Linked DNA regions of Cricetulus griseus. The protein of the gene in region 2 interacts with the protein of the main gene of each other region in a pairwise test. Links are inferred from orthologs where the notes say so. Each region holds a gene or a part of one and is shown on either strand. Other genes may lie near its edges.

What was found.
Region 1: the proteins of Gnai1 (region 2) and Ric8a interact in binary tests that used the Homo sapiens proteins (3 or more experiments, as listed by UniProt). The link is inferred for Cricetulus griseus from reciprocal best matches to the Homo sapiens genes GNAI1 and RIC8A.
Region 3: the proteins of Gnai1 (region 2) and Rgs19 interact in a two-hybrid assay, tested with the Homo sapiens proteins (2 studies listed by BioGRID). The link is inferred for Cricetulus griseus from reciprocal best matches to the Homo sapiens genes GNAI1 and RGS19.

What each region holds. Positions count from the first base shown.
Region 1 is NC_048596.1:60,341,408-60,345,333, reverse strand, and holds the start of Ric8a (synembryn-A), read left to right. Parts: upstream 1-1,126; 5' UTR 1,127-1,179; coding exon 1,180-1,263; intron 1,264-1,559; coding exon 1,560-1,607; intron 1,608-1,695; coding exon 1,696-2,286; intron 2,287-2,587; coding exon 2,588-2,679; intron 2,680-3,140; coding exon 3,141-3,291; intron 3,292-3,926. Other genes in the region: Bet1l (BET1-like protein), read right to left, coding at 1-115.
Region 2 is NW_023276806.1:175,950,362-175,953,792, forward strand, and holds the end of Gnai1 (guanine nucleotide-binding protein G(i) subunit alpha-1), read left to right. Parts: intron 1-2,740; coding exon 2,741-2,931; downstream 2,932-3,431. UniProt on the Homo sapiens protein: Guanine nucleotide-binding proteins (G proteins) function as transducers downstream of G protein-coupled receptors (GPCRs) in numerous signaling cascades.
Region 3 is NC_048599.1:214,936-219,062, forward strand, and holds the start of Rgs19 (regulator of G-protein signaling 19), read left to right. Parts: upstream 1-1,327; 5' UTR 1,328-1,483; intron 1,484-1,511; exon of another isoform or gene 1,512-1,677; intron 1,678-1,840; exon of another isoform or gene 1,841-2,007; intron 2,008-2,150; exon of another isoform or gene 2,151-2,211; intron 2,212-2,541; exon of another isoform or gene 2,542-3,247; intron 3,248-3,923; 5' UTR 3,924-3,996; coding exon 3,997-4,026; intron 4,027-4,127. UniProt on the Homo sapiens protein: Inhibits signal transduction by increasing the GTPase activity of G protein alpha subunits thereby driving them into their inactive GDP-bound form. Binds to G-alpha subfamily 1 members, with the order G(i)a3 > G(i)a1 > G(o)a >> G(z)a/G(i)a2.

The sequences.
Region 1 (3,926 bases), on a different chromosome or scaffold from region 2:
ACAAAAATGAAGTTGTTCCATGGAATGTAAATAAGGGAAGGGCGGGCCGCCTGCGTTCGTGCCCGCGGATTGGCCAGCAATAGTAGTCCCGAGATGTGGGTGGTACCCGGAGCATGAGCTCGGGCACAAACCGGGAGCTGAGGCTGGAAACCGGCTCGGTAAAGCTGCCGGATGCCTCGGGCGCTGCGGAAGCCCGAGTGTGAGAACTACAAGATGCGGAGGACGGACAGAACTGAAGGAGACTGGCGAAGGAGACGCCAGGGCCTGACACCGAGCAGGCGCAGGGCACGCGCCGGTTAGCTCAGCGGGTGGCAGATCATCCGCTGGAGCATGGCTTGTGTGTCACCGCGAGGTACACTCTCACCGACCATGCCTCCAGCCACGCGGAGTGCGGACCCGGCTCCCCAGCCACCCACCCTCTACCCAGCGTTGGAACGCCTCTCACACTGACGGGCCGCGGCTGGCCGCCCCTCCATTGCCCCTCCCATGGGAGTGGCTTTCTCCGGGTGGTTTTCGCTTCCCTCTGACCCTTCCTCATACACTGGGACTTTCTTTTTCCTTTGATGGCCACATTGTTTTTGATGGTTCGGTCTTTCGTTTGTTTTAAGGACGGTCTCACTATGTATCCCTGTCTGGCCTAGAACTCACAGATCTGCCTGCTTCTGCTTCTCGGGTGCTGGGATAAAGGCGTGCGCCACCTCGCCGAGCTATCCGCTTTATTTTGACCACCCGAGTCGTTGTGTTTGTCTTTCCCGCGGAGCATGAGCTTCAGGGTCTGGACCGTGGGGCTCCAGCTGACTAAGCGACCAGAAGATAGTGCTCCCTTCATCTCTCTCCCTGTTCCCTGACCGGTGCGTAAGGAGGGCGGTCCATGCGGGGGCCGAGACCCCACCTCCACGCCCCACGCCTGCTAGAGAGGAGGGAGAAAAGGGGGGCGAGGGGATGCTACTTGGCTAGCTAGCGCCGCTGTTCCAAGACGAGCCGCTCGGCGATCGCGGCCAGGTGGGCTCCACCTTAAACCGGAGGCCCGCCCCACGCCTGTGCACACCCTTTCTGCTCGGCTGTGCTCCCGGCATCCCTCACGCGTGGACTCGGGGCTTCCGGACCTGGGCGGAGCCCGCGGGTTTGGCCGATTGCGTCTTCCCAGCCCAAGCCTTCCAGCACCCGGTGCCAGGGGCCATGGAGCCCCGGGCAGTTGCGGATGCTTTGGAGACGGGAGAGGAAGACACAGTGACAGAAGCTCTGCAGTCGTTCAACCGGGAGGTGAGAGGCACCCGGCTGCTGAGGAAATTTCTTGGAGAGAGGAAGCAGTGGTGTGCGCGCAGCGCGGCCGGGGTGTGCGTGCGAGTGTGGCAGGGAGCACGGCCTTGGGAGGCGGGCTGGGCCTCGGGGGTTTCAGTGGTGGGGCAGGTGTAGGGGAAGCGAGGGTGGTGGGCCCTGCCTTGCGTTCAGAGCAATGGCTGCTGCCTCAGAGGTAAAAGCAGACCGGCTGCCCTGACTCGAGGAGCACAGGTCCTACCTGCGCGTGGACTTGAGCCTACTGGGTCTCCTCCCTGCAGCACTCCCAGAGCTTCACCTTCGATGATGCCCAACAGGAGGACAGGAAGGTAGGTGCCATCCCAAGGGGCTCCTAGGGCAGGCATGGGCTGCCCCAAGAAGAGGGACTGGTGGATCCACTTTTGTCCCTCCCCACAGAGACTCGCAAAGCTGCTGGTCTCCTTACTGGAGCAGGGCTTGTCACCGTCACACCGTGTCACCTGGCTGCAGACTATCCGAATCCTAACCCGAGACCGCAGCTGCCTGGACTCATTTGCCAGCCGCCAGAGCCTCCATGCACTAGCCTGCTATGCTGACATCACCATCTCAGAGGAGCCCATCCCACAGCCCCCAGACATGGATGTCTTACTCGAGTCTCTCAAATGCCTGTGCAATCTCGTGCTCAGCAGCCCCGCAGCGCAGATGCTAGCAGCAGAGGCTCGCCTGGTGGTGAGGCTAGTGGAGCGTGTGGGACTGTACCGCAAAAGGAGCTATCCCCACGAAGTCCAGTTCTTTGACCTGAGGCTCCTTTTCCTGCTAACTGCCCTTCGCACTGATGTGCGCCAGCAACTGTTTCAGGAGCTGCACGGTGTGCGCCTGCTGACTGAGGCGCTGGAACTGACGCTGGGGGTGGGCCCCAAAGAAAAACCCCCGGTGGTACTTCCGGCCCAAGAGACAGAGCGGGCCATGGAGATCCTCAAAGTGCTCTTTAACATCACCTTTGACTCTGTCAAGAGGGAGGTGGATGAGGTAAGTTGTAGCCTGAAGTCATGGGTGGGACTCAGCTCAGCTGGGACAGTTTTGTGGTTTTGCTTCCTTCCTGCCTCAACTTCCTGGGTGCCAGACATGGCAAGGATAATGGGACATCAAGGCAGGGAATCCAAGGAAGGTTTCTGAGCTGTGTTGTGGGGGTGTGTTTGTGGGAAGGCTTTAGGTGGCCAAAGGTCACCAACTGTGCTGTGGACAAAGCCAAGTGATCAGCTCCATGTGGCCCTGGAGCACTGGAACAGGGGACTCCTCCTTACAGGAGCCATTTTCTGTCTTTGGTTAGGAAGATGCTGCCCTTTACCGGTACCTGGGGACCCTTCTGCGGCACTGTGTGATGGTTGCTGCTGCTGGAGACCGCACAGAGGAGTTCCACGGGTAAGGGGCAGGACTTACCGTGTGTTGACAGTGGGGAGAGTACTTAGGCATGGGTACCCTAGTCCTCAGCCCTAGGTGTCAGTAGAAGCACCAGGTCCCACCGTAAGAGTATGACTGTCAGAGGGATGGGAAACCAGAGTGTTCCCAGAGAGCCCCAGGAACTCAGAATATGACTAGGGGAAGAGCTAAGGTGGAAACAATGGTGGCCCTGGCATTGTAAGGCAATGGTGTTCCTGCTGGTGGTGACCAATAAGTACCTCACCTGACTTGGTATCTCAGCTCAGACAGAATGGGACAGGCAGAAGTTTGTCTCCCCACCAAACTTGAATGGAGTACTACCTGCCCTTGCCTCTAGTCCTCGGTGCTGTCCTCAGTCCCCCATATCATGTATACCCCAGGAGAGGAGCCGGGGATTACTTCTGTGCTAGAGTTACTCTGTCAAGGCCTCTGTCTGTCCCCAGCCACACGGTGAATCTCCTGGGAAACTTGCCCCTCAAATGTTTGGATGTCCTTCTCGCCCTGGAGCTACACGAAGGATCCTTAGAGTTTATGGGAGTCAATATGGAAGTGATCAGTGCCCTTCTTGCCTTCCTAGAGAAGCGTCTGCACCAGGTAGGTGGAGGACCTGCTATGTTGTGGCTTCCATTTCTGCACCAGGGAGAGAGGTCAGCTTGAAGGTATAACTTGGACAGTTTCTCTGGTTGCTCTGTGGCCCCACCAGAGATAGCTATTCAGTCAGACCCTCTCCGAAGCTTGTGGATACAGCTTGTGTGTGGACCTCAATGCTGCTGATTCCCAAAGAAAAGCAGGCTTCTCAGGGTCTGCCAAGGTGAATGTTGTCTTTTAGGTCTCTGCAGTTCCCTGTTAAGTGATTCTCAGAAGCCTTTGGTTCCTGCTTCCCTAATGTTCCCATACATTGGCAGCCATAGGTGACAGCATTAGTTGTCCTGCATCTTTTGTTTTTTGTTTTTTATTTTTTATTTTGGTTTTTCAAGACAGGTTTTCTCTGTGTAGCCCTGGCTGTCGTGGAACTCACTCTGCAGATCAGGCTGACCTCAAACTCAGAGATCAGCCTGTCTCTGCCTCCCAAGTACTAGGATTAAAGGAATGACCCCAACCCCCACCTCCACCCCCACCCCCGTTGTCCCTCTGCATCTTAAGGAGACATAACCAAGGGTTACCTGACACCTACAGTTATAATATGGGACCAGAGAGCTGGTGATCTAGCCTATCCTGTGGAGCTCACA
Region 2 (3,431 bases):
CAAATTTCTCTCTGCAGCCCCTTACTTCTAATTTCAACTGCTTTCTGAACATAGTTGTGAGCACTGAAGTATAAACAAAGTTAATACTGTTTTCTTTCTCTCCTCTTTTCACTGTCTCATAAAGTTTCCAGTTGCTTTATCCCAGTCATATATTCATTCAGGAAAGTTCACACAGTTGAAAATACCTGTTTCCCCAGCATGGCTGTGCACACACTGCAACAAACACACATGTACACACTTTGCTCCTTCGTCTTTCATTTTTCACATGGAAAATCAGATCAAAGAATGTGTTCAGGAGTTTATTCATGTATTTGGTAAACCTTGGAGTGTAGCAATTTAGCTATCCAAAATGTGTGTTGCATATGAACTATGTACTAGGTGTAAACTCCTTTACCTAAACACATGTGTTATTAATTAATTAATGGGTTACATTTTAATAGCTTCCTTAACCCAACAAGCCATTGTTCATTGCATCCAAATTTTGGAGCACCAATGATTTAATAAAATATGATGTTTATAAAGTTATTATGATATAAAACAATTAAAATATAAACATATTCAGGGTCTATAGTTTTATCATTTTTGCTGCCCAGGCACACTAAACACAATCTCTCTCTCTCTGGGTCCTGTCATGTGACATCCATTGTACTGTAGTTTCATGCAAGGTCTGATGAAAGTGGTTGGGGTTTGCAAGATAGAGTTATTGCATTCTATTTAGGATACCTAGTGCCGAAAACAAATTGAGACCCCAGTAAAGCATATAACAAAACTGGAGTAGTATTTCTATTGTCTGTAGGAGTTCTTAGTGATACAGAGCCCATCTGGATTTGGATAATTATCGGATATTATGTAGAGTGCATTTTGAGCAGATGTGGAAAGAGCCAGACACACTGGATTGTGAAGGACAGCAGGGAAACAGTGCTGCAGAATAAGGGGCACTTTATATAATGATTTTTAGTGATACACACTGAGCCCCAGATGTGGACCTGAGCACCTAAGAGCAAAGTTTGAGAGCATGGAGAGTCTTGAAAGGCAGACAAGTAATGTGGGGTTATTACAAAAGAAAACCACAACAATTAAAAAGCAGAGTTGTGGAACCCACTCACTATCTGTGCATCTACAAAACACTCTTGAACTAAGGCTCAGAGAACAATGCTGAAGAGGGGCAGAAAGATTTGAGGGCCAGAAGGTCACAGAGTTCACTGTGGGATTGTGTCTCCTAGTAACATGAGAAGCTATGTCCCTAGTATCACCAACATGACTGCCTGAACAAGGACAACAGCAGTAGACATGCCAAAGTGGATAGGGAAAATCCAGGGGGCCTCCACCCTACAAGGAGAACTACAGGCAACTAAGGAATGCTGAAAACAAGAGAAACAGTCTCCCCCAGGGAAAAGCACAGCAACTGATTATCCAATACCAAATAGTCAGCCCTGAGAACACACATACAAACAACCTTATACAGACTGAGCAGGTTGTATTTAGGAATATAATATGTATGAGGATATACATATTTATATGTAATAGCAATTAATGAAAAAGGAGGCTGTGAATTTAAAAGAGAGCAAGGAGGGATACATGGCAGGGTTTGTAGGGAGGAAAGGAAACAGAAAAATGATGTAATTATACTATAATCTCAAAACTAAAAATAATTAAAGAGAAAACAAACAGGGGAAAGTGAACATACAATATAAAAATGCAAATTTAATATCTACTACATGAGTTAAGAAGCTGAACTTACCAATATCCCAGAATCCCTTTGCCCCCTTTCAGTCTCAACTAATTTTCTCCCCCAACAAATTTATTTAATAGTGGCTTTTTCCTCACACACCCATTTTTATTGTTTTGCAAACAGCAATTAGGTCACACGGGGTATGTACATGTTTGTGTCTGGCTCCTTGCATCCAGAGATTGCCACAGAAGTTCACTTGTGTTACTCTGTCTTGCAACATGCTTACATCCTTACTTCTGAGTGGCAGCTAATAATGTGATTCTCCCAGATTCCTGTGTCAGTGACAAGGGACAGACTTTCAGGCTGTTTCCTGAAGTAGAAGGCTGTGCTCCACTAGCCTTCTTTGTGAGTCTTCCTTAAGCATAACATAAAGTTCTACCAAGCCTACATGCAACAACTGGAATTTCTGGGTCAGAGTATGTGTGTACTTATCCTCAGAGTCTGCCAACCCATTTCTGATTGTTCTCACTCAGAGCCGGTCTCTAATCACCATTGTTTTTTTCTTTTTGGTAACTTCATAACATTTAATTATATTATAGACCTGAATAAAGTTCTATTCAGTAAGTTCTGAATAAAAAAAAATGATGACAAAAGGATAATTAATGAGTAACTATGAAGGGGGAGAGGGAAGCATTCAGCCAACACTACTGATTCGCCAGTGGGTTAGCACAGTAATAGTTAACCGCCGTTATGGTTCAGTGACTGGGGATGTAGATGATAGAGGGTGATAAAAAAAAAAAAAAAAGAACTCTGGCTCTTGGAGACTTAAGCAGAAACACAGAAAACATAGAATACCATGTAAAGGAGATTTTAAGTTTAAAGATGGCTTGTGAAGACACAGTGTTTTTCATTTGAAAAAAAAAATCATTTTGTTTTAGAAGGGAAAGTGGGGTTACAGAGTCCATATATTTTATATGCAGAAAAGTGACCTGTGCTTTGACACGTATTTTCCTTAAGCCTATACAAGCATAACTTCTTGCAAACTTCTTTGCTTTTTTTCCATCTCAGGATCGAACACATATGAAGAGGCAGCTGCGTATATCCAGTGTCAGTTTGAAGACCTCAACAAAAGAAAGGACACAAAGGAGATATACACCCACTTCACCTGTGCAACAGACACGAAGAACGTGCAGTTTGTGTTTGATGCTGTAACAGATGTCATCATAAAGAATAATCTAAAAGATTGTGGTCTCTTCTAAGTTTTGCAGTTGGTAGTCACATGCATTTTCAAACCAAATGAGTACTTATATATGGATCTCTCTAGACTAGAGTCTCCCAGCAACACAGAATGTAGTATACAGCAAAAGCATCCTGGACCTGACCAAAGTTGCTCTGTTTTGTGTCTTTCTCTGAAAATAATAGGGTCATTCTCAAAGGTGAAGGATGATCCTGTGGTGTGAAAGTGAGGTGTGATATTTAGGCTGGGCTCTAGTGTACTGATGATTTCTGGGTAAGTGTAAATATGCAAATGTAAGATGTATTTATAAGTTTTGATTTCCCACATTATGTTTAGGTTGTAAGAGTGGCAACTTACGATTCTAGTGTGATGGTTTGGGGAATAACATAAATATTAAGTACCTTGTACCGAATGACAGATTAGTTCTGTGTTTGCCAGTTTTAAACAGCTTTATTTTATGTTAGTGTCCTATAAATTTTAGGTACCGTAGTTAATATTAGGAAATGTCATGGCCCTTACCTT
Region 3 (4,127 bases), on a different chromosome or scaffold from region 2:
TAGTGTCACTTGCTCAGTGCTCCTGGTCTCCTGCCTAGATTTAGGGGCATTCTCTGTGCTTAAAGATGCTAATTGAGTATAGAACAGATGTAAGGTAGCAGAGAACAAGTGGGTAGGCATGTAAAATGAACTGAGGGGAAGAACGCATACTGACTTCTACCCACAGCCAGTTGCCCACACCAAATACTGCAGAATCAGCTTTGTTTTGTTGTCTCCACCTGGTATTGACCCATTTCTACTGGGCCTCCTTATTCTAAACTGTGTCCACTTCTCAGGACTATTATCTAAAGCAACTACTACTGTTTAGATGGGCTTCTTAGCCTCTACCTTGCTTTGGAATCCATCAGGTGGCAGCTAAAGGGTTCTGGCTTTTTTCATCAAGCCCCACACAGCATTAGAGAAAGCCTGGTAGCCTCAGGCTCTCAACCAATGTTCTCTCTTCATCCAGACTCCCTGAACATCATGGCAACATCCTGCCCTCCTCACCTCTCACCCCATCCCTTTTGGGCCTGTCTCCCATTCTAGTCCACTGCAGTTAGCTCCAGGTCAGTCTGTCTGCCTGGGACCCGCTGCCTCAAGAGTGGGTATTTGCTTTGCACCTCTAACTTCTGTGGTCAGCATATACAACCTGTGCGATTAAAAAGTTTTTTTTTTTTTTTTTTTTTTTGCAAGACCCTAGCACCTGAACTGGTTAGGCTGTGTTCCAGTGCTAAGAAGGGCAGGAACCGCATGGCCCAAGCAACCACACACACCCTACAAACCAAGTCTAAAGTAGGGTCAGGGCCCCTGGACACTTGCCCAGAGCATGCTGGGATAATGAGCTAATTCAAATCTGCACCCAATAATAAAGGATCTGAAGAGCTGGCCAAAGAGTAAGGCCATTTGCAGAAAAGGCTATCTTGGAGCAATTTGAGGGGTCAATAGGGAGGGACTCAACTAGGCCCCAGAAACTTTCGGGGTAATTTGATATAAGAACCTGCATTCACAGTGCCCACCAAGCTGCAGTTCCTGAATCTCCCTTTCTCTGTGGACAGCAGAGTGACAGACCAGACTCAGAAATGCGAAGGGGTGGGGCGGACAGGGCAGTACAACAGGCCAGTCCTTCCCAAAGGCCTCTTCTCATCCTGCCAAGAAGCACACTGGGCTCAGCTCTGGTGCCCCACACTGCACTACCACAGAAAGGAAAGGCTGGGAAAACCTAGCTAACCAGACGGAGCGCCGGCTCAATCCACTGTCTGTGTACGACTCACCCCTCAGGGTCACCATGCCACGCTACCGCAGGACGACACGCCAGCGCGGGTGGGGCGCGGGAGCGGGCGCGGGGCGGGGCACTGCGGGCGAGCAGGCGCTGGGGCTCGAGGAAGTCCCGGCCCCTCTCTTTGGGGAAGTACCGTGGAGGCGCCTGCGCACTGCGCCTGCGCCCCCTCCCCGGCGACAAGCAGGACTTCGGATCGCGCGGGCGCTGTGACTCGGGGACTCTGCGGTGAGTGCGGCGCTGGACCGCGGGCGGGCCCCGGAGATGTAGATGCCGGCTCTGTTCCCGGACTTCAGCGACCAGCCCACGTGGACCTGGGTCGCGGTGGGACCGGAGCCCACCCCCTGCGCGTGGGGGAGGGAGAGCCGCAGCAAGGTTCCCCTTTTTCTTCAGCTCAGAGCTTTGAGAAGTAATTGCTAAAGGTGGGGGCCGGAAGAACCCAGGTTTCCGTGTCTCCCGCCCGCTAGCCTAGTGGGGAGGGGCCAGGCCAGACACCGATCCACCACCTTACCCACCCTTCGAGTTGGGTCCACTAGCCACTCGGCCCGGCGAGCCTTAGGGGTGAATGTTGCGCCCCCTCCACAGCCCCACCCGAGAGGGATTCTGTGCGCCTTCCTATCTCGCGAATACCCAGGAGTACATCTTGCTGTCTGACTTAAGTCCCTGCTGCTTTAGAGCACGCCCCTTCGGCAGCCAGGGTGGGGCCCAGACCGAACCTGGCCCTCCCGCCCCCATCCGCCTTTAGGTCGCTGGTGAGTGGGGCCTCATGGCGAATTCCTTAAGAAAGGGGTGGGGGCGTCAGAGACTGCGAGAGGGACCGCGAAGAAGAGACCAGCCCTCCAGACGACCCCACCAGCAGAAAGCAGTAACTGGGTGGGGGCCTACCATCCCACAGGTGGGCTTGGGCAGCGGGGTTCGCCATGGTGAGAGAGGTCTGGCCCGCCATGGAGGTACAGGTAGGACAATGACAGTGTGGGATGGAAGTGGGAATGGAACCCCTGTTACCCCCCCCCAAAGGTTCTTTTCTTTTCTTTCTTTTTTTTTTTTTTTTTTTTTTTTTTTTTTTTTTTTTTGGACTGGTCGGGCTTGAACATTTTCTTCTGTGGAGCAACACGGCAGCCATTCCCCAGGGAGCTTCTGTCCCCAGAGACCAGATTTGCTGCATTTGGTCTCAGCATAGACTTGGGAGGCCAACGCCTGGGAGGCTTGGGGAGGGAATGAGCCATCCAGTATCCGGAGATGGGGCAGGAAAACCCTAATTCAGATGCTGGGCTCCCCTTCCCTAGAAAGAAGGGAGGCGGTAGTCAAGAGCACTCTGGACGACATGGGTGGTCCCAACCGACCTTTGATGGGTGCAAGGAGCCAGGACAAGAGCCTGCAGCTGGGGAAAATGGCAGACACCTGCGTCTGCACAAACTGGACCCCAGCATCCAGGCCCCACACACCCCAGGCTGTTCCCTGTCCAGTCAGCTGGTTGGAGATGGAGCATCTGAGGGATGGTCTGCAGGGTGATGACTCTGGAGAGCCTAGAGACCTTAGGCTACTACACCCCTTCCTTTCCCTAGAAGCTCCACCCCAGGGAAGTACAGCCCAAGCTACTTTTGTGTCCTGGTTTGCACGCTGGGAGACTTGGGAACCCACCATCTCAGAAATCGAGCCAGGTGGTGGGGCTGCCCTCAGTGTACAGACCTCAGGCAGAAGAGGATAAAGGGCCTCCCTCTGCTGGATTCAGGGCTACAGGAGGGTGGATTTCATCGACAAAGTAACGTGAGCCCCAGGTTAATGTGAGGAAGGTGGGCAGAGCAGAGATCTTAAGGCCTGGATAGCCTAGCCTCCACCTGGTCAGAAATGGGCACAGGCTGGGGAGAGAGGAGGCATTCAAAACTGCTGCCAGGGTGCTAATTGGATGCTTTGCTTCTGTTTTTCCTGGGGACACTGGAATTTGAAGTCAGCTTTCAGAGGCCTGAGAGGTTCCTAGAACCCCCTGTGAAGGTGTGGTCCAAACATCAAGAATGATAAATCATATGAAAACCCATTGAAGAGCCCAAGGCTCCAGCTAAGCAGCTGATCCTCCCACATTGCCACCCCAGCTTCCATGGCTAGCACTCCCTGCTTCTGCATCCTCAGGAGAAAAAGGGAAACCAGGGTGAAGTGGGGGTGTCTGACGCAGCCAAGGACCTAAGAGCCTTGTTACCTAAGTACACATCTCTCGAGTAACCCCCCACCTCCATTCCTCACTTTCAGGAAGTCTTGTTCTGAATTCTACTCAAGTACTCTGGTGCCTCAGACCTAGCCCTCTGCAGTCATCTGGGTAGCATGTCTACCCACCTACCTAGAGGGAGGGAGCCATCAGAGTATCCTACCATCTCCATACCAGCCTGTAGCTCCAGTCCCCTTAGGAGGGGCCAGGAGCCGGAAGCCAAGAAAGAGGAACCCAGGCTTCCGGCTTCTTGGGGACTGAGTAGATGGGGGTATCTTAGAGCCCTTTGTGGGAGGCCCAACTGCAGTAGCCCCATCATTGCCTGGGGCACTTCCATATGGGGTTAGCACACAGACTTGGGGTAGAGCTCTGAGCAAGCTCCCTCTGAGGGACCTGAGGTGGTTGCAGAGGTTACAAGGTGGGCCCAGGTCACAGGCCCTCAGTCAGAACTCCCAACACTCTTCTCAGATCCAAGCTCCCAGACTGCAGTGAAGGTCCAGAGCTGGCACCACAGAATCTGTGCAACCCTCTCCACCCACACATGCCCACCCCACATGAGGCGGAGAAACAGGTAGGCACTTCCTCCCTCTAATTGGGTTCCTGGACACCTGAGGCCCTTGGGGGCACAGCCAGTTGGGCAGATGGGCAGACATAGGGTCCAGTGAATTCTGG